Coturnix japonica: one gene and its partners. Each later gene encodes a partner of the first gene's protein in a complex. Links are inferred from orthologs where the notes say so. Each region holds a gene or a part of one and is shown on either strand. Other genes may lie near its edges. The genes, in order: F2, FGG, THBD, FGA and SERPINC1.

What was found.
Region 2: the proteins of F2 (region 1) and FGG are in contact, whole or in part, in a crystal structure (PDB 2HWL), measured with the Homo sapiens proteins. The link is inferred for Coturnix japonica from reciprocal best matches to the Homo sapiens genes F2 and FGG. Residues at the interface, in NP_000497.1 of Homo sapiens: His450, Pro451, Arg452, Arg461, Arg486, Ala489, Ala490, Leu493, Ile530, Val531, Glu532, Arg533, Cys536, Asp546, Asn547, Met548, Phe549, Cys550, His605, Phe607, Arg608, Leu609, Lys610, Lys611, Trp612, Lys615; in NP_068656.2 of Homo sapiens: Pro439, Ala440, Glu441, Thr442, Glu443, Tyr444, Asp445, Ser446, Leu447, Tyr448.
Region 3: the proteins of F2 (region 1) and THBD are in contact, whole or in part, in a crystal structure (PDB 1DX5), measured with the Homo sapiens proteins. The link is inferred for Coturnix japonica from reciprocal best matches to the Homo sapiens genes F2 and THBD. Residues at the interface, in NP_000497.1 of Homo sapiens: Phe382, Ser385, Pro386, Gln387, Leu423, Arg425, Thr432, Arg433, Tyr434, Arg436, Asn437, Glu439, Lys440, Ile441, Met443, Lys470; in NP_000352.1 of Homo sapiens: Ser424, Cys425, Glu426, Cys427, Tyr431, Ile432, Leu433, Asp434, Asp435, Thr440, Asp441, Ile442, Asp443, Glu446, Asn447, Gly449, Phe450, Asp479.
Region 4: the proteins of F2 (region 1) and FGA are in contact, whole or in part, in a crystal structure (PDB 2A45), measured with the Homo sapiens proteins. The link is inferred for Coturnix japonica from reciprocal best matches to the Homo sapiens genes F2 and FGA. Residues at the interface, in NP_000497.1 of Homo sapiens: Phe382, Lys384, Ser385, Gln387, Leu423, Arg425, Tyr434, Glu439, Lys440, Ile441, Ser442, Met443, Lys470; in NP_000499.1 of Homo sapiens: Trp52, Pro53, Phe54, Cys55, Ser56, Asp57, Glu58.
Region 5: the proteins of F2 (region 1) and SERPINC1 are in contact, whole or in part, in a crystal structure (PDB 1TB6), measured with the Homo sapiens proteins. The link is inferred for Coturnix japonica from reciprocal best matches to the Homo sapiens genes F2 and SERPINC1. Residues at the interface, in NP_000497.1 of Homo sapiens: Leu389, Leu390, Cys391, His406, Cys407, Tyr410, Pro412, Trp413, Asp414, Lys415, Trp455, Arg456, Glu457, Asn458, Leu459, Asn506, Thr510, Trp511, Thr512, Ala513, Asn514, Val515, Gln519, Arg541, Ile542, Asp562, Ala563, Cys564, Glu565, Gly566; in NP_000479.1 of Homo sapiens: Lys258, Glu264, Asn265, Arg267, Tyr285, Glu287, Gly288, Lys289, Glu345, Met347, His351, Ala419, Val420, Val421, Ile422, Ala423, Gly424, Arg425, Ser426, Leu427, Asn428, Pro429, Asn430, Arg431, Val432, Lys435.

Annotation. Positions count from the first base shown.
Region 1 is NC_029520.1:20,933,987-20,938,126, reverse strand, and holds the start of F2 (prothrombin), read left to right. Parts: upstream 1-1,337; 5' UTR 1,338-1,376; coding exon 1,377-1,455; intron 1,456-2,371; coding exon 2,372-2,535; intron 2,536-3,010; coding exon 3,011-3,035; intron 3,036-3,214; coding exon 3,215-3,265; intron 3,266-3,785; coding exon 3,786-3,891; intron 3,892-3,970; coding exon 3,971-4,101; intron 4,102-4,140. UniProt on the Homo sapiens protein: Thrombin, which cleaves bonds after Arg and Lys, converts fibrinogen to fibrin and activates factors V, VII, VIII, XIII, and, in complex with thrombomodulin, protein C. Functions in blood homeostasis, inflammation and wound healing.
Region 2 is NC_029519.1:18,080,996-18,083,747, reverse strand, and holds the end of FGG (fibrinogen gamma chain), read left to right. Parts: coding exon 1-158; intron 159-853; coding exon 854-1,131; intron 1,132-1,471; coding exon 1,472-1,638; intron 1,639-2,024; coding exon 2,025-2,039; 3' UTR 2,040-2,247; downstream 2,248-2,752. UniProt on the Homo sapiens protein: Together with fibrinogen alpha (FGA) and fibrinogen beta (FGB), polymerizes to form an insoluble fibrin matrix. Has a major function in hemostasis as one of the primary components of blood clots.
Region 3 is NC_029518.1:4,429,616-4,433,919, reverse strand, and holds THBD (thrombomodulin), read left to right. Parts: upstream 1-1,503; 5' UTR 1,504-1,757; coding exon 1,758-3,401; 3' UTR 3,402-4,257; downstream 4,258-4,304. UniProt on the Homo sapiens protein: Endothelial cell receptor that plays a critical role in regulating several physiological processes including hemostasis, coagulation, fibrinolysis, inflammation, and angiogenesis.
Region 4 is NC_029519.1:18,074,469-18,078,646, reverse strand, and holds the start of FGA (fibrinogen alpha chain), read left to right. Parts: upstream 1-1,370; 5' UTR 1,371-1,426; coding exon 1,427-1,477; intron 1,478-3,263; coding exon 3,264-3,392; intron 3,393-4,109; coding exon 4,110-4,178. UniProt on the Homo sapiens protein: Cleaved by the protease thrombin to yield monomers which, together with fibrinogen beta (FGB) and fibrinogen gamma (FGG), polymerize to form an insoluble fibrin matrix. Fibrin has a major function in hemostasis as one of the primary components of blood clots.
Region 5 is NC_029523.1:4,512,220-4,516,237, reverse strand, and holds the start of SERPINC1 (antithrombin-III), read left to right. Parts: upstream 1-1,209; 5' UTR 1,210-1,346; intron 1,347-3,595; 5' UTR 3,596-3,599; coding exon 3,600-3,974; intron 3,975-4,018. UniProt on the Homo sapiens protein: Most important serine protease inhibitor in plasma that regulates the blood coagulation cascade. AT-III inhibits thrombin, matriptase-3/TMPRSS7, as well as factors IXa, Xa and XIa. Its inhibitory activity is greatly enhanced in the presence of heparin.

The DNA of each region.
Region 1 (4,140 bases):
CACACAGGTCATTCTGGCTTTTCCCAAAGGTGTCTTTCCAGAATCCAGGTGTGGTGGGCGAGAGTAGGGATACTCCTGTTAGATGAGGGCGGGAGCCTCTGCAACTGCTCTTTGTACCAACGGCCACAGAGTCATTCCTGAGCCACCCTAATGCTAATATTTGCACTCCTTCTATGGAGACAAACATTACAGTTGTATCTGCTGCACAGAGGCACAGAACAAAACATGCTCTCTGCTGGGAGAAACCACATTTATGCCCTGTAGCAGCCTCTGAGCCTACTCCAACCCTGCCCTGTTTTCTGCTGTTCTCTCACCATTCCAACTTTCTGCATGTAGGAATCACTACAGCATTCGCAGCTGTGGTAGTTCAACTCTTGACTTGCTTGTTAGCTGATGTTGTGGCACCCATATAACTCTTGCCTTCCTGTTCCCACAAGCCTTTGTTTTTCTGCCTGTTTCTGGTGTGCTTGCTGCTTGCTTGTCAGCTTCTGTTTCCTTCTGGATGTACTTTAATGTGTTCCACTGGCGTGGGAAGAGAAGGGAGAGACCAGACTTCAAACTACTTCACCCTCCTCCACCCCGCTGGGAATTATAATGCCACGGGAAGTATACACTGAGGATGGCATTACTGACCTAACTGGGAGGAAAACTGAAAATCCACAGAGACTGCAGCCAGCACCCCTTCTGCTACTTGGCATGGGTGAGGGAGATGGAAGAAACTTAAATTGTGTGTTCTCGTGCCAAATAACAGACTGAACCTGCTGATAACTGTGGGGAGAGAAGACAGCTGGACTCTATGGGGGAAAGGGATGGAACTTGCAACTAAAAACAGGAGGAGGACTGGGAATGGCTAAGGAGATCTCCAAGTCTTGCTACATGTGAGGCTGCTAGAGTACAGCATCCAAGAAGATTTTGCAGCAGGGAACCAAGCCCTGATGATGGGGACGCAGCAGTCATGCCAAGAGCTGCAGGAGAGCAGGGTGACACAGAGAGCAGCAGCGAGCTGCTTGGGTTGGGGCAGCTGGCAGGGACCTCTCTACCAGCCCAAGCTCTCCCTGTGCCCTGGTACAAACGTATCCTCTTAATCCTCATGCCATGTTATACACTGGGATGCTAATTTTAATCTGGAGTGTGGCGGAGTGTCCAAAGACATTCAGTTTGGTTTCCACTAATTAAGTATGAAAATGAAAATGCCCCAGAGGGAGGGAAAGATGCCAAGAGAGAAGGGATAAGAGGAGCCTCAGTCCTGCTGTCCCTGACACACCATGACCTCTGGAGTCCTGTTTCTTCATTCTGGTTTAATATTAACCCAGCAGGGCTGTGACTCCACTTATTCTGCTCCCTTTGCATTTCCTCTGCAGCCAGGGCTGTGCAGCATGGTGCATAGCAAAGCCACTATGCTGCAGGGCCTGCTCCTTTTCAGCCTCCTGCACCTCACCTTGAGCCACGATGGAGGTAAGAACACAGGGAGATGGGCAGTACTGGGTGATTAAGGAAGGAGGATGGGCTTAATTCCTTCGGGTGGTAAAGCCTGTAGAGGGTTTTCCAGGTAGTGCAGAAGGAGATTCTAAAAGCCTGTAACTGGGAGTGAAAGGGTGCAGAGAGGAGAGTGAGTATTTTGCTTCCCTGCCCAGGAGGATGCAGCAGCACCCAGCAGCTGGCAGGGAAAGCTGTGACAACAGCCCAGTGGATTTCACAGGTCACCTGACTGATGGTGGAGGAGAATGTGGCTCAGAACAAGACCCCGTGTAGCACAGCTGTGGGGCTTGTTAGTTCCTCAGCTCACCCCACTGGCTGCAACTCTGCATTGCCTCTCCAGCCATCCTTTATCTGAAGTTTAGGTCATACACAGTACGCAGCCTTCCTGCTTACTGCTCCTTTTTCTTTTACTAGAGCCTCTACTTCATCTACTTGTTTTTAATATGAGTTCGGGTCCTTTCTATCCCACTGCTGTGTGGGGCAAGACCTGTCACAGGTCTCAGATCAGGGCCTGTGAAGATGAAGATTGACTTTACCTATGCCTATTGCAGTAGTCTGAAATTGGCAAGATAGAAATTCAGTGGTTGACAGACAGCAGTAGCAAGCTCCAAGCAAACAAACAAACTAGCAGAGCAGATTTGCCAAGGATAGCAGAAGATTCTTGTCACTTCTGTGACCTGGACGAAGCCAATACTGACAGATGAATTATAGTGAGGCTGCTCTGACCATCAGCTGTGGACCTCACAGGTCCTTGACAAAGCTTCCCTTATCTGTACGGTGAGCTGGGGAGGCTGGGCTGTGGGAGCATTACACCAGCTGAGTGAAAACTTCGAGACACAGGGACCCTCCCACCATGAGCATCCCTTTGACTGGCAGTGTTCTGACTCGGTAGTTTTCCTGGAAAAGGGGCGGGCACTGTCACTGCTCAAGCGTCCACGACGTGCCAACAAGGGATTTCTGGAAGAGATGATGAAAGGAAACCTGGAGCGAGAGTGCCTGGAGGAGACATGCAATTACGAAGAGGCCTTTGAAGCCCTTGAATCCACTGTTGACACGGTACGTCACAGGCCACATCGGTGTCCTGCAGCCAGCTCCTGCCGTGAGACACGTGGGTCACAGACAGCCAGGGGCTGGGATCATAACAGACAATTTTGTGCTATAGATGGAAAGCTATTGTGCCTGTCACCCAGGGGGAGACAAGATATCCTTAGGGAAATTCCCTCCTAAAGCCACTCTTGGAAACGCACCACAAATCTCAAATTCTTTTTCCTCCCTCTCTATTTTAAGCGTGAAATGAAATAAAACAGAGCCTTCCCTCAACCCCATTAGATAAGAATTTCATCTTCATCTACTAGTTCACTATGGTGCCACACACATTTCAACAGCCACAGGCCCAGACACTGAAAGAACAGCTGACAGCAAACAAATTTTGAGCGCAGGTGCCTCAAGCCTCTTTGAGCTGAAACTGATGTGCTGCTGATCTCTACTCCTCGATATTTACGGTGATTTTTCTGTTTCTCTGCTTTTACAGGATGCATTTTGGGCAAAATACCAAGGTACGTTGCTTCAAGTTCCTCCATAACCCATCCTGGAGGAATGGCTCCCTACCCTCTTAAAAGAGCTCACTCACCAAGAAAAACACTTGTGTTTTGTCCCTAGATGATAATCTGGTTCAAACCATGATGCTTGTTTAGATTCTTTCATGTAACGTGCTTCTTTCTTCTTATTTTGCAAGTATGTCAGGGCACAAAGATGCCTAGGACAACTCTGGATGCTTGTCTAGAAGGTAAGAAGTGAATGTAGATCTTAAGATCCCAGATACGTTGAGTGCCAGGAATTTGCTTCATGCAGATTTTGGAAGGAAAAACAAAAATAATCTAAAGTTGGCAAGAAAGAAAAATAACAAGGGGAGTTTTAAATGCCTTTCTTGTTCTTTATTTCTCCATTATCTATTTTACAAACTGCCTTACTCCTCCATTGAAATGGCATAGGGTAGATACCCTTATCCCTGTGACAAAGTAATGTGGTCTTGAGTATAGCTCCAGGTTAGACTGGCCTCTCAGAGGCCAACTTCTCTAGCCTGTGCCTTATAGCCAAAGCAAAGCACAGAGCTTCGGGGAGAGCTCCATCTGATAAGGCAGAGCAAGTTTAAGTGATGTGCTCTTCCCATCTTACAAAAAGAATGCCCATGGTTGTGCAGGCTCACACACATCCACAAAGTTAAAGGAATCTGTGGTACTTCTGACACTGAAAAATACAACATCCATTCCACTGACCCAGGCTCACCTGTTTGGGGATTTTGACAGGTAACTGTGCTGTTAATCTGGGCCAGAACTATCGGGGGACAATTAGCTACACCAAATCGGGCATTGAATGTCAAGTGTGGACAAGCAAATATCCACATATACCTAAGTAAGTTCATCTCTTGCTTTCCCCTGCAGTGTTCTCCAGGGTGCCTTTCCTTCATAGCCTAACCACCCTTTCCTCACAGATTCAACGCCTCCAATTATCCCAACCTCATTGAGAACTACTGCAGGAACCCAGACAACAACTCAAGAGGTCCGTGGTGCTACACACGAGACCCAACAGTGGAACGGGAGGAGTGTCCCATTCCAGTATGTGGTATGTCTCAGCACTACATCCCAGCTTTTCTCCAGCAAG
Region 2 (2,752 bases), on another chromosome or scaffold:
AGAAACTGGGTTCAGTACAAGGAAGGATTTGGACATCTGTCTCCAGATGACACCACAGAATTTTGGCTGGGCAATGAAAAGATTCATTTAATAACTACGCAGTCCACTCTGCCATACACCTTACGAATAGAGCTGGAGGACTGGTCCGGCAATAAAGGGTATTTGTTCATGAAGCCTCTGAAAATGGCATCTTAAAGCCTACTGCTTTTTCTAGTAGTTTTAGTTTGTACAGATTTAAAAAAAGCATGGCACTACTAGGTGTGTCAAGATGCATAAGATGCCACGTGGGCTCAATGGTTGGGCTGGGTGATCTTTTAGGTCTTTTCCAACCTTGGTGATTCTATGATTCTATGAACTCACAACTGTGGCAGCAGCCCTCATGTGTACATGTCTGAAGGCCACAAGCCAGAAACCGTAGTTGATTTGGCAGAATAGATCTGTTTCTTCTTTTCAAAGTTTCTTCACTTATGTCTTCAGTCCTCCAGGAGGGCTTACTACCTTTCCTATTTCTTGAGATACCTATTTCTTCCTCCCACCAAGAACTTCCTCATGACACGAGTAAGCCTAAGCTGTAGCAACTTGGGAGATAAACACATATGTAGGTGTATAATGTAGGTCTTCTGTGCATCACTGAAGAACAGTAGAGTCAAAAAATACATCTAATGGTGGATGACAAAAATTGGATATCTGTCACTGAACCAGTGCACAATCATTTAACAATAGTCCTTTTACAAAATTACATGCTAGGATGCTCTAAATCCCTTTTCTGCTGTTCTAATATCTGTGTATATTTCATTTGTGAACATACTAGGAATGCAGCATGCTTATACTCACTATTATCCTCTGTTAATAGCACTGCTGACTATGCGGTATTCAAAGTGGGATCTGAAGAAGACAAGTACAGATTGACCTATGCCTACTTTATTGGTGGTGATGCTGGAGATGCCTTTGATGGCTTTAATTTTGGAGATGATCCAAGTGACAAATCCTTTACCTACCATAATGGCATGCGCTTCAGCACCTACGATAATGACAATGACAAATTTGAGGGCAACTGTGCTGAGCAAGATGGATCTGGATGGTGGATGAACAGATGCCACGCTGGTCACCTCAATGGAAAATATTATATAGGTAAAATATCTTCTAAGTACCTATTTTCACATGGACAAATGTAACCAAGTACACCACATTTCAATGACATTGAGTATATTTTGCCACCTGTTTTTTCCAAAGCTGATGTGGTCCATTCTTTTCAATGACTGTTTATATTAACACCTGTTTATGGCAGTTCTCCAGCCCAGAATGGAATCCTTGGTTCTGATAGAAACAAAGAGAGGGAGAGCAGCACTGTGTGCAGCCTGTTAGTGTGACCAGGGATGCCATAGAGGTGTTGATACCACAACTACAAATGGGATGGTCACATTAATCATGTAGAAACAACTGAATGTTTTTCTCAAATTGATATTTTTAGGTGGTGTGTACTCAGCTAGAGATGGTGACCCAGATTCATATGACAATGGCATTATATGGGCAACATGGCGTGACCGATGGTACTCCATGAAGAAAACTACAATGAAAATCATCCCATTCAACAGACTCTCAATAGATGGACAGCAACACTCAGGAGGCCTCAAGCAGGTTTGATCATTGGACAGAGGAGATATTTAAAATAGCAATAAAATCTGGTTATAATTGCAAGTACAGAGCATGGACAGCTGAAATGTTATGCCTACTGCATCTTAGAGGCATCAGCTTTGTTTACCATTTTGTCACAGAAATATTTGCGTTTTGATTTTAGTTATACCTTCCTCTTCATTGTTTCTCTTAACAAATAGATAAGTAGATCATCCCAGGACTAAAAATAATTCTTTGTCTTCATTTGTTTTAATTGCTGAATTTTAAATTTCCAATTAGTATAATTATGCGTAAACACTATCAACATATAATTATCAAGTCTTATGTTCTTCATCTTTCCTTAGAAGAACACTGAAATACTGTCTTTTTTTCTTCTTTTTCTGTTGCAGGTTGGAGACTCATAAAGGGACAATTTAGTAAAGATTGATCTGAAAACAAATCTTTTATTTGTGTGACACTGAACTTATCTCACCTTCCTCAGTTTGGACATCAGTGTTGTAAGATATCATTGACTATAAAATGCCCAACGGTTTTCCTTGAGCAGTGCTTACCGCTTTATATGGTTATTTTTTTCTGTACACATCCCCAATAAATTTTTGATTATTACAGAAAGGCTGAGCTTGCTATTTGTGTTCTACTGTTAACCAAACACAACACACTAAACACTGTGACTGCTGGAAGGGTACTCTGATCAAATCTGGTTCAGTTATTCTTTCTCTTTATTCAGAAGTGTGAGTTGGAGCTATTTCTCCATAAAACATGGTTAGCTTTCAACAGCCTTCACTTTGTTTTCTGATGAAATTGTCAATTTGTGACACAGATCAAAGTACACAGCAACTTGAAAGGGATCTAGTTTACTGCTGAAGCCACTTAAGCAAGCATACCACAGGTTAGGAAGTATACTATCAGTGACAAAGATATTTTACTCCAAAGCATGCATATTGGTTTCTCAAATATTATTCAGAATACATGTTTGGCTTCCTATATAGCACATAGTACTACAGTGTACAAGGATTACACCTGAATACTACGTTCATTAACTTCTTATTTTAATGTTTTCAGCATCATTTTCAGACCAAAAAATAAAATAAAATTGTAGTGTTAATTATGTTTTACT
Region 3 (4,304 bases), on another chromosome or scaffold:
CCCAATGCCCGCAGCCTCCCAGGAGCAACAGGAATTGCTCAGGGCTGGCAGAGGGCACATCAGGCTGGAGGGTGTAATAAAGTCACCTCCTCGCAAGGAGTGGAGTGAAGCAGCATGGATTTGCTTCTCTGCAGAGGATCCCGAGGGCTAATTGCTGCCGCTGAGCCTTCCAAGTAGAAAACATCCCTCACTAAATTGAAAAGAAGGGTCAAATGCCCTTTTCCTTGAGTGGCGAAGCTTTAGATGTTTGCTTTTCATTTTTATTTTGCTCTCGGCCATGTTCTGATAGGAGAGGTGGATCCCGCTAGGATAAAAGCACGGATGGGGCCAAGCTGTCATAAAACCATGAGCAGGAGGCGGCCTCCAACTCCTTCCCCTGGAGAGCCACGTGATTGTTTTTAATTCCAAACCCACCTGACTTTCTTTAATTCCAAGCCCTGTTCCGTGCGTAGCCGCTGCCATGCAGAGCACAGCGGATGTTCTTCTGCCCTCTCACCTCAAATCTCCTGGCCTTGCAAACTTGCAAAGGAAGCTCGCAAAGGGATTGCCGCTCACCCCTGCTGACATCGAGCCCCACAAGTGCAAGGAAGCGCTGTCCCGAGTCCCCCGCTAACAAAAAGCTGCGAAACCCCGAATAGCTTATGGACCTACTTTCCCCTTTCGCACAAAAAAACCTCGGTTTCTTCTCAAAAAGCGACCCGAGCACTGTCCGTCCCCCCGGCGCTGCCACCTGCCGCCTGCGGTTGGGATCGCACAGCCGTGCCGAGGGGTCCCGCTGTTACTCGGCATCCTCTCCCTGAAGCTGCCGGGCTGCTCCGGGCCACCCCCACGGCCGCCACTCTCAGGCAGGAAGCAGCACCTCACCCACTGCCCTCCCGTGCCGCCACCCCTGTCTCCTGCCTGTCCCGGAGGGTCCAGCAGCAGCTTCAGCTCTCCCGCGATTGCCTTCTGTTCTCCTTCTTATGATGTCCCCCTCTCCCCCTTCTCCTCGTTCTATCCCCCCCATCCCCCCTTTCTCTCTCTCCCTCCTCTCCTCTCCTCTCCTCTCCTCTCCTCTCCTCTCCTCTCCTCTCCTCTCCTCTCCTCTCCCTCCTCTTCTCTCCTCTCCTCTCCTTCCTCTCCTCCTCTCCTCTCCTCTCCTCTCCTTCCCCTCCTCTCCTCTCCTCTCCTCTCCTCTCCTCTCCTCTCCCTGCCTCTCCTCTCCTCTCCTCTCCTCTCCTCTCCTCTCTCTCCTCTCTCCTCCTCCTCTCCTCCTCCTCCTCTCCTCCTCCCCTCTCCCTTCCCCTCATATTTCCTTTTTTTTCCCTTTCCTTTTAGTTTTTCTTTCCTTTCCTTCCACCCTCTCTTTTCTTATTTTCACTTATTTTCTTTCTTTTTTCTTTTAAATCTATCTCCACTCTTCTACTGTTTTTCTTTTCTCCTCTCTCCCCTCCCTTATCCCCGCCTCCTTTCCTTCTACTCTCCCCACAACTCCCCCCTCCTCACCTCTCCCCTCCTCCCTTTCCCTCCCGCATCCCCGAAGGGGCGGCCGTCTCTCCCCTTCCCTGCCGCGGTCACGCCCGGCCGGGCCCGGCCCAGCCCAGCAGCACCTCCCGACTCGCGGGGATTTCCTCCGCGCCGGAGCCGCCCCCGCCGCAATCCCTCCCGGCCCGGCGGCGGCCCGTCCCCGGAGGCGCTTCCTTCCTGCGGCCGGAGCTCTATAAAGCGGCCGCCCTGGTCGGCGGCATGACAGAGATTCGCCGCGCCGGCCGCCCGCCATGCGGCGGCTCCCGCTGCCGCTGCTGTTGGCCGGACTGGGGCTGGGGCTGGGGCTGGGACTCGGCGAGCTGGAGCCGCCCGTCCCGTCGGGGGCGCAGTGCCTGGAGCACGACTGCTTCGCCGTCTTCTGGACTCCGGGGTCCTTCGCGGCTGCCAGCGCGGCCTGCGAGCGGCACGGCGGCCACCTGATGACCGTGCGCTCCACGGTGGCAGAGGATGCGATCGGGCTGCTGCTGCGGAACCGCGGCGGGCGGCTGTGGCTGGGGCTGCGGCTGCCCACCCCGTGCACCGAGCCGGAGCGGAGGCTGCGCGGCTTCCAGTGGGTGACCGGAGACACCCGCACCGACTACGACAACTGGGCGCCGTCGGGGCGGCGTTGCGGGCAGCTGTGCGTGGCGGTGTCCCGGGAGCTGAGCTGGGAGGAGCGGCGCTGCGAGGAGCCGGCCGACGGCTTCCTCTGCGAGTACAACTACCCCGACAGCTGCCCCCGCCTGCCGGCCGCCGACGGCGCGTCCCTCACCTACCGCACTCCCTTCGGCGCCGCCGGCGGCGACTTCCTGGCCCTGCCGCCCGGCTCCACCGCGTTCGTCTCTCCGATGGGGCTGCAGCTGCTCTGCGAGGCTGCGGCCGTCGGAGGGAGGACGAGGTGGGGCCGCTCCGAGCCGGGCGCCTGGCCGTGCCGCCTGTCTAACGGCGGCTGCGAGGGAAGCTGCGAAGAACTGGATGGGACTCCGCGCTGCTCCTGCCCCACCGGCAAAAAGCTCGGCCCCGACGGGCGCGGCTGCCTGTCTCCATGCGCCGGTGCTCCCTGCGAGCAACACTGCGTGCCCGACGGGGAGAGCTTCCACTGCATGTGCTCCGAGGGCTACCAGCTGGGCCCCGACGGCAGCAGCTGCCAGGACGTGGATGACTGCGTCAAGGTGCCCGAGGTGTGCGAGCAGGTCTGTCACAACACCGAGGGCGGCTTCGAGTGCCTCTGCCACCGTGGCTACGAGATGGTGGAAGGGCACTGCATGCCCGTCCCCAACTGCAGCACTGGCCCCTGCGACCACATCTGCGAGGACGTGCCCGGCAGTTACCGCTGCAGCTGTGATGACGGCTATGTTGTCGACCTGAAGAATCCCACCCAGTGTGTGAGGCAATGTGAGGATGGCAGATGTCTGGCTGAGTGCGATGCCACCGGCCTCTCCTGTGTTTGCCCCGATGGCTTTGTGACAGACCACCTGCCTGATGGTGTCACACTCTGCGTTGACATCGATGAGTGCGAGAATAACTACTGCGACCACAACTGCACCAACACGCCCGGCAGCTACACGTGCCACTGCCAACCTGGCTATGTGCTCGTTGATGTCAACGACTGCAAACCCATCTCAATGGAGGACAACGTGGATGAGTACTCAGGAGATTCTGGGCCCTCCCTGCCCTTCCCCAGCCGTGTCCCACCCAAGGCAGAGCACCTGCACCCTGGGGCTCTGGTGGGCATCACAGTGGGCGTGCTGTGTGGGGCTCTGGTGCTGCTGGCTGTCGGCTACCACCTGGCAAGGAAGCGCTGCCAACCCCCCAGCTCTATGGAGTACAAGTGTGGCAGCCCCCGTGAGAAGGAGATGGGGCTCCAGCAGGTGTCCGCCAGCCAGAAGGTGTAGGGAGCCTGGCGATGCACAGGAGACGGATGGAACTGGGTAACGTTTGGTTGTAACCCCCCTGGTTTTGTAAAGAGAAAGCAAGGAAAGCAGTTCGTGTCATTGGCTTCTTGTGTTTCCCGTGTCTGTTGCATACGGACCTCTGGCAGCGGAGCACTCAGATTGCCAGCAGTGCAGGGACCCCGTGGAGCTCACCGTGGTGGGGTTAAAGTGCTGATTTCTTTCCCCTCCCACCATTTGGGGACTGTTTGGGGGTGCAGTGGGTATTACAGGAGCACTGGGGTCATTTGTAGGAAGGGCATTTCCAGTGCTGGTGATACTGTGCCTTTTTCCTCTTGTGTTTTTCCTTTATATTTTTCATCCTTTTTAAATTTTTTCATCCAGGGATGAGTTGAATTTGTGTGGATGTTGAAGGCAAAACTTCCTGGTGATGTTTGTGTTCCGGACCTTGCTGCTTGCTTTGCAGGTGTGGGCTGGAGGGTAAATGGGGTGGGAAAGAAGAGTTGGAGGGGGGAAGATCCCTGAAGCAGCCCCCGAGGCTGTCAGTGCTGAGGGTCTGTGCCCGAGTAGGGGCAGCTGCCACAGTGCCAAGCTTTTCAGATGGGATTTTGGGCTTGGAGCTGAGGTTTGTCTGTGCCCCTCAGGCACAGAGCAATGCAGCAGCCCCTGAGATGAACGCCAGCTCCACACTGCCCCAGTTGTCGCTTTCCTGATGTAAATGGTTGAACCCACTGTTTTATACACCCAGCACATGTGTAAATACTTATTTATTTATTGGAAATATACCCTACGCCACGCGCAATCACCTCGTGATGTTGTGTGCAGACCAATAAAGCTTTTACTGTCTGATTTATAGAAACCTGGGAACGAGCTGTTCTTCCTGCCCTCCCTACAGCCTGACCCCCC
Region 4 (4,178 bases), on another chromosome or scaffold:
AGGCTGTGATCTTCAAGCAGAGACTTTGATGTCAACTGCATAAGCCAAATTATAGCTCATTAGAGCAAACGGGACACTGTCTGTGGAAACTGGCAGATGTTGTATATAGCTCATTTAAATCTATTCTTTTAAATAACTCATCACAGTCCTGCAATTCTTCCTCTTGTTGTGATCTTTTCACCCTATAAGCATTTTATTGTTGTCTGAGCTTTTTATGATTCTTTAAGATTGTTATAATTCTTTCACAGCACCATTACAAAAGAGTGAACAAAACTGCACAGGACTCGGACTGGGAAGGCATCTTCAGTCTTGCTGCTGAGATTAGCAGTGGACTATGTATGTGTGCCATTGAACTAATGCACACAATCATAAAAATAACACTTTTACAAAATTACATGCTAGGATAGCTTAGAATGGCAGTGGAGCATTTATGTGCGTAACTTTTGTCTGCTTTGAGTTCAGGAGCTTCCTTATGGACAGAACAGACATGGCTGGCTGATCCTCAGACAGTAAAGATAATGTGGAGTCTGCTCAGACCTGGGTTGCTGAAGTTAGCTGAGCTCTTCTGCTTCTGAAATGAGAAGAATTTTGTTATTTTGTTGTATTGTGGTATTAGTGGCACTGCACAGAATTCAACAGAACACTTCACAAAAGGAGCTGCAGGAAATTAAGATCAACAAAAAACTTTCTTTCCAAGTATGCACGGGTAAGATTTTGCCTTAAATATAACAGAAACCTCCAGTCATACAAATGATGGTGTAGGTGTAAATCAGTGACTTAAATCAACGTAGCACCATCCTATCGATCTGCTCTGTTCCTTGTAACTTGAGAATACAACTCACTGTTAGTGTTGTTTACATGAGTTCCGTTCTAATTTAAGAGGGTTTACGGAGACAAGAGAAGCATGCAATGCAAAGCCAGACATGGGAGGAAACAAAAGGTAGTACACTAGTACTTGCTTCCGAAGGCCCAATGGTTTTCATGAGCATGGAGCTTCAAAGAAAGGGCAATGCCTTTTTTTTTTTTCAAATATCAACTGCCTGATTGTATTCGCTAAATTCCCGCCACACAACATGTGTTTTCCATTAGTTAAGTATTGCTGGCTCCTGCTAGGACCCACATACACCCTAGATGAACAACAATTTACAAGAAATCAAGCTTGAAGCTGATATGCTTTTTTTTTTCTTTCCTGGAATACATGGTGTTGCCCTCATGGTGGTGCTGTACAAATTTATCTGGAGCAAATAACACCAGAAACTTGTGCAAGAGGCCTTATGTAATCGACTCAGGACATTTGACATGTTTTGTCTCCAAACAGAAGGGAGAATAATGATTAATCTCTGCTCTTCAGCAAGGTTTAAATTGCATCAAAAAGACCAGAGGAGAGAATCCTCTCATCCACAGTTCTGCTCGCTCTTCTCCGAAGATGATACCAGTGAAGATACTCTGTGTGTTGCTCTGCCTCAACTTAGCTTGGGTATGAGTTTCCTTACTTCATTATTTCCTTACCTTGCTGATTTGAAGAGTAAGAGTTTATTTAATCTGCATGAATTAGATGCATGTTTGCTGGCACCTATCTTGTCAAATTCAGTGCACACACATACGCACAAGCCTAGTGTGACTACTTCACTGCTGCTCTTTCATGACAGCAGTTCTTGTATATCCAGTTCTGTTTTGATTAATTCAGTCTTGTTGTACCCGCCTGCCTTCTGCAAAGCAAATAACACGAATTCATAGATTCACAGGTGCTGCTGTGAGCCTTAAAGCTGGCTGAATTGGATGCTGGAGGCTCCAGACAGTCAGGAATTTTCAAGTTTATTTTAATTCTACTTTCCTTTTCTACTTCCTCAGTTTGCTTCAACTGCACTTTCTAGCTACAAATGATGCACAATGGCTTTATTATGAAATTCCGATTTGAAAACAGTGATTCTTATGGCAGCAACATCAAATTAAACTAGAATGCAAGCAAGATGACAATAGATTATGGTCTATTATATTGCAACACATAATGAAACATTTATTACCTAAGATAAGCAAGAAGAAATTTTTAGATGAGGAAAGTGATAATCATAATTTTCAACTATACTAACATATCCTTGACATTTTTTCACTTATGTTTCAGCCATTAATCTCATGTTAGTCTTCTTTACGACTGTATTTTGAAGAAAGTAAATGCTCTCACAAATTGCAGAAATTATGGGGAGCAGATCTGGCTAAACACAAGCAGTTCTGCCGGAGCTGCCAGTGCTTAAAGGGCACAGACGACCTAAAATTAAATATTTTATTTGTTATTTTAGGGGACTCTTTGGCCAAGATGAATTGAACCAATGTGAAACTGCTGAGTTAAATAATGACATTCCAGTTCCACAGGGCTGAGGTTCTGGCTCTGAAGGCTGTAATTAGGAACACTCTCTCTGCATGTGAATTAATCATACATCTTTTTTGGCATGAATTATACTGTTTGTTAAGAACGTAATGCATATGAAGAAAAACCTAGGCAGACCTAATTAGATCTCAAGCAATCTCCTTTACATTTTATGAAAAAGAATTATTTTCCAGTTCTTTACTAAGCAATAATGCAGTAAGAATCCTTACAGCATGTTGGTTTAGAATTAGCTGGTATAATTGCACTTTGGTTTCTCAGATTTCAAGAAAAATCTCAGTTCATTTATTTCTGTTCCTTCCATTAACAAAGTGCAAACCATCCATCACTGACATTATTATTTTCATTACAATGCTATTAGTATTCTTGTTCTTTATGTCAGGCAAAACAGTGCTAGGAGCTTATAGGACTAAAAACAGAAACACTAATGAATGGAAATAGTAAATTCATGCATATCTTCAAGCCAGTTTTGAGTAGGCAGAAGGAATAGGATGAAAACAAAAATTTAAGAATATGAAAGCAAGTGAAAATGGAATGAAGATGTTTCAAAGTTAACTTAAGTAACTTCAATCTAATTTCAAGCTAATTTTGCATTTACATACAAAGCTCAGGATTATCTTGTAAAGATATCATCATTATCATCATACTCTAAGCACCATCCATTCTCCATATGAGCATTAATTTTAAGAGTGGAAAAGCTTTATTCTTACAAAACAAACAAAACCATGTCTTACAAGAAACGCCTTGCCACTATTGGATGATGCATTCCACAAGGCTGCAGTGCTACTGAGTGCTTGAGGATGTCAGCTTTTCATTTCCATTTTCTTGACCAGTGCTCCAACACTCTCAGTTTTGCTCTTCTCTTTACTCCTCCCGGCAGGCTCAGGATGGGGAGACCACCTTTGAAAAGGAGGGAGCAGGTGTGCGTGGCCCCAGGATTGTGGAGCACATGCAACAGTCCTCCTGCAAGTATGAGAAGAACTGGCCGATCTGTGCGGACGATGACTGGGTGAGCAATGAGCCATAGGGACAGCAGGGCACACAAGGACCCCTGCCCTTGGTTTAGGAGGTCTGATGACAAGATGTTCAGTAAAAGCTTCCCAATGGCTGACTGAATGTCTGTGTATGAACTGTTGGTTTGTCTCTCTCTTGCCTCCTGCATCTCAACTCATATCTATGCTACATTTAGAAGATGCAATCTTGCCTAAGAGTTATAACGTATAAGAGCAGGGGATTTTCTGAGGATAATTCTGCTTAAATGAATGAGCCTAGGTCACCCTTGATCAAGCTGGATCTAACTTCCCTTTACAGCAGCCCTTTGGGAAATAAATGTGGTGAGATTATTGTTTTGCTTTTATTATTGTTGTTATTAATATTGTTATTGTTATTTTTTGTTTTGTTTAATTTTGTTTCTACTCTTAAGGAACAGAGGAAAGTGAAAATTAAAGGTTCCTTTGTCACCACTTGAAACAGGATTCTATGCATACATTTCAGCAATTCCAATGCACCAGTGTCAGAGGTGCAAGATGTGAAGGGGTCAGCCGTGAGGTGTCCTGCTCCAAGTCATACAAGCCCTTGTCAAAGTCATTGGATGGATAGGACAGAAGAAGTCACATAATACTGCCCTAAGTCATATTAGAGTGTTTTAATTGCTGGGTATTGATTTAAAAAACAAAAAGACAGATTCATGAAGATTTTAGCACAATTATTTCTCTTCCTCTTTTAGGGTATAAAATGTCCATCAGGCTGCAGAATGCAAGGATTAATTGATGACACAGACCAGGATAACAGTCAC
Region 5 (4,018 bases), on another chromosome or scaffold:
CATTTTCTGCACTGGTGTGAGGGCTCCAGGATGCTCAGCTACACTTAAAACCAACTTGAACTTCTGTCAAGGTTGGCTGCTAAAAGAGATGTGAATTGCTGCAGTCTGGCTGAAGGAGCCGAATGGGGAGTTTGGGGAAACCTGCCATTTTTTTTCCTCTGGCCTCCTCAGGGATGGCTCTGCCCAGCCATCAGCTCTGGGTTGTTGGTTTGATCTGGACCAGCAATAAATTGCCACTTACCTACTGCACTTAAGATAGGTATTTATCAGCTCTCCCATGGGGTTTGGTTTGGGCAGCTGATGGGTCCCTTTGGCGCTACGCTGGGTTTGGGAATAAATACTTAGAGGAAGTCCCCAGCTTGCCATCTTCTTTCATTTTGCAATTAGCCTTGCCTTTAATAGGGCTATCATGGTAAAGGAGGTGTTCCCATGCTCTGTTCTAGGCATTCTGCCTGCTTGCAGTGAGCTGCAGTGCTGCTGTGCCTCATCACACTGCTGAGACTTAATTCCCACAGCTTGAGCTGTGTGGGATGTGCAGAACACAGTGGGTGCCTGCTCCCATTCCATGTGGCATCGAGCTGCCCCGCAGCACCAGATGAAGAGCCCCTGCTTGGATACAGCACACTTGGCTGGGAGCAGAGAGCATCTGATTCCTTCTGAAGGTCCCAGGGCTGTGAGCACGTCTCACCTCGGCGATTACACCAGCACTGCTGGGAGCACAGTGAGCAGCGCAGCTGAGCCCTTCCTTGCAGCACACAGCTCACCTCCTATGCCCTCCTGCAGTTCTTGGCTGCTTTGCATTGCTGGGTGCTGCTCGGAGGTCACAGTGTGACTTCTGTGCTCACTTTGTCCAAAGACAGCCCTGCTGTAGGATGGGTGAGAGCAAGAACAACATGTGCAAGACTGATGTGTTGGGCACAGCCAGTTTTCAGGTGGTACTTATGGCCGTGGGCTGTAACCCAGCCCTGCTTTGCAGGCCCTCCTCTGCAGCCAAGGACCACAAGTGCTGCTCCTGAGCTTTTTCATGAGTGGCTAATTATTTTATTGGCAAAGAAGGAAGGCACCCAGCGTTTCTAAGGGGTAGGTGGTCAAACTTTCCCTTGTCAGATTGAACTTTAAAACCTCTTTCAAGCCAAACATTGCTTTTTTGTTTTCCTGCTCTTTGTTTAACCTTCTGCAGCGGTCATCAGCCTTTGGCCCCAGCATCCTGCCCCCAACCTGCCTGCTGCTGGAGCACGGGAGCCCAGTGTGGAGCTGCTCTGTGTGTGTGGGTCTTGAGCACTCCTGTCCTCCTGGGGAATCTGCATTTGCATCCAGAACACAGGAGGCTGGAGGCACCAGGCTGGGTAAGAGAAACTATTTCCACTAATGCTTCATTTTTAACTGAACCCACTGCTCCATTTGCCTGTTGAAGGAATTCAGGCTGCTACCAGACTGCAGCTCCTCTTGATCTGGGGCTTCTGCTCACAGCATGGGGAGCTTAAAACATCACAGTTCCCATCAGGGAGCAATTTGTGCCCAGCTCACTGATGGGCTGTGCTTCACCTCATTTCTTTGTGGCATTGCTTCATGCTGTGGTGAGCACCAACCCCCCTGTCCCATGTAGGAACAGCACTGGTCTGGGGGGGGGGGAGCAGGAAGGGTTTTCTGTCCATCCTAATCACATTGAGCTGCTGGGCCCAGAGGAGTGCAGCAGAGATGCACAGATAGCAGGGGTGAATGCAGCCTTTGTTGCAGGACGAACGCAAAGCAGTGGGGGCACACGGGCTGTGCTGGCCACAGCCTGGCTGTGGGATTAGGAGTCCCCACATTTGCATGGAGCCCTCTGGTTTTTAGCTGAATCAGCAACTTGTTCCTTAGTTTTCTGTGCTTCTCACAGGGGTGACTGAAGCAGGACAGCCAAGCCCTTCCCCCTTAGTGTTCTCTTCCCTGCCAGTAACCCTTCCCAGGCAGCCATTTGCTGTAATGCTTTTGGGCTCCCTCCAGCTGATGTGTGGTGTGGACAGTATGAAAGGGAGGCCCCAGGAGCTGCTGGGGGAGCAGGGCAGCTCCCAGCCAGCGGTATGGCATGCAGCCCTGTGGGTCTTGTGTTCCCCTTCTGCTGTGTGCTTGTGCTGGGTATGCTGGGGGGCTGGGTTGGCCCCAGGGAGCTGATATATCAGATTGAAGGGGCTAAGAGCATAAAATCCCACATCCCCTCTAAACGGATGAAATCTGAAGCTGGGACGGGCTGTGGGATGCTCAGCAACCAACCGCAGGGCGTGCAGTGCAGCAGGATGGGGCTGAGAGCCCGGTGACCCTCCTGCAGGAGCTGGTATTGGGAAGAGTGGTGCTTCCTGCAGTGCTCCCACTTCCCTTCCTCCTGCCTGCTGTGGTGCTTTCAGGGTCAGTCTGTTTGACTTCCCACCCCTTTCAGGCTTTGCCTTCTGTGGTGCTGCAGCTGTTCCATGCATCTGTCCTTCACCTTCTTGCAACAGTGTGTTTGCTTTTACCACTCAGACTGGCTGTGTTCTGAGCAAAAACATCTTGTTGTACACGTCCTCTTGCAGTGCTTGCTGCTGCACTAACAGTTTGTGCTGGTGAAGGCCCCCAGGCTCAGTACAGCCCTGGTGCCAAATGAGGTAATTTCTGCTTTCATGGAAGAGCTGCAGCCCAGATGAAGACACAGACTGGTCTGGGTTGGAAGGGACCTCAAAGATCATCCAGCCATTGCATAAGAGTACAGGCAGGGGGTTGTGAAAGAGCCCAGAGCTCCCCACATTGCTCTGTGCTGCCCTGCTGGATGCTGGCAGCTCTGGCGGTCATTAAAAGAAACCTTCCATTTCCGCACTGATGGGGCAGCACAAGGTGACAGCAGCGGTGGGCACATGGAGTCTCACACCCTCCCTGCCCCCAGAGGAGCCATGGGGACATGAGCAAACCCACTGGGAGTCACACAGAGGGCATCTCTGTGCTGCAGTGCTGATCAGCCCTAGGGTGGCCAGTAATGTGCTGCTGGGGCTGGTGGGGATCTACATCCCCTGTTTGAGCTTCCTGCATCAGCAGTTAGAACAGGGCAAGGCTGAGGTGGGCCTGAAATCACAGCTGGAAACTGAAATGGCAGAAGAGCTCAAGGGAAGGAAGGAAACAGAACTGGAGAAGGAGGTTCCCCCAGGAAAAGGGGAAGGAAACCATCTAAAGCACTGTCTGAGGGCTCTCCGCTGCAGGGCTTGGGGCATGGAGTGCTTTCCCAGGAGAGAGAGCAGGGCAGGGTCTGTACAAAGCAAAAACGTGACTGCAGAGCAGAGCGGACTTTGGCAGCTTCCCCATAGAGTGATCAGAGCTTTGATCTATGTGTTTTTGCACCAGTTTGTCAGGGCTGCTTAAAGAAAGGACACCCGTGGCTCTGGGAAAGCACTGTTTTCATTGTGCTGTTTCTAAAAGCAGGGTGTGCTCAGAGCTGTGCTGCTCTGCTGGGGCTGTCCCGGTCCATCCCACAGCTGCACTACAGGAGGGTGATGGGAGAGGGCTGTGATGGTCCCTATACCCCAGTGCTGGCTGGGCTGGGGGCTCTCCGGGCAGGTGGGCGCACACTCAGCACTCCCTCTGTTTCCAGGACAATGCAGCTCTTCCTTGTGTGTCTCTTTGCCCTCTGGGGCATGGCTGCCCCTGTACGCTATGCTGTGGAAGACATTTGCACTGCGAAGCCCCGTGATATCCCAGTGAACCCCATCTGCATCTACCGCAACCCTGAGAAGAAGGCCCAGGAAAGTGAGGTGCTGGAGCCGGGGAAGGGCCGGATCCCGGGGTCCACCAACCCCCGTGTCTGGGAGCTGTCCAGGGCCAACTCGCGCTTTGCCGTCGTCTTCTACAAGCACCTGGCCGATTCCAAGGACAACGAGGAGAACATCTTCCTGTCACCCCTCAGCATTTCCACAGCCTTCGCCATGACCAAGCTCGGGGCGTGCGGTGACACCCTGCAGCAGCTCATGGAGGTTAGTGGCATATCCTCAGCCTTCCCCAGAGCTGCTACTGGGGC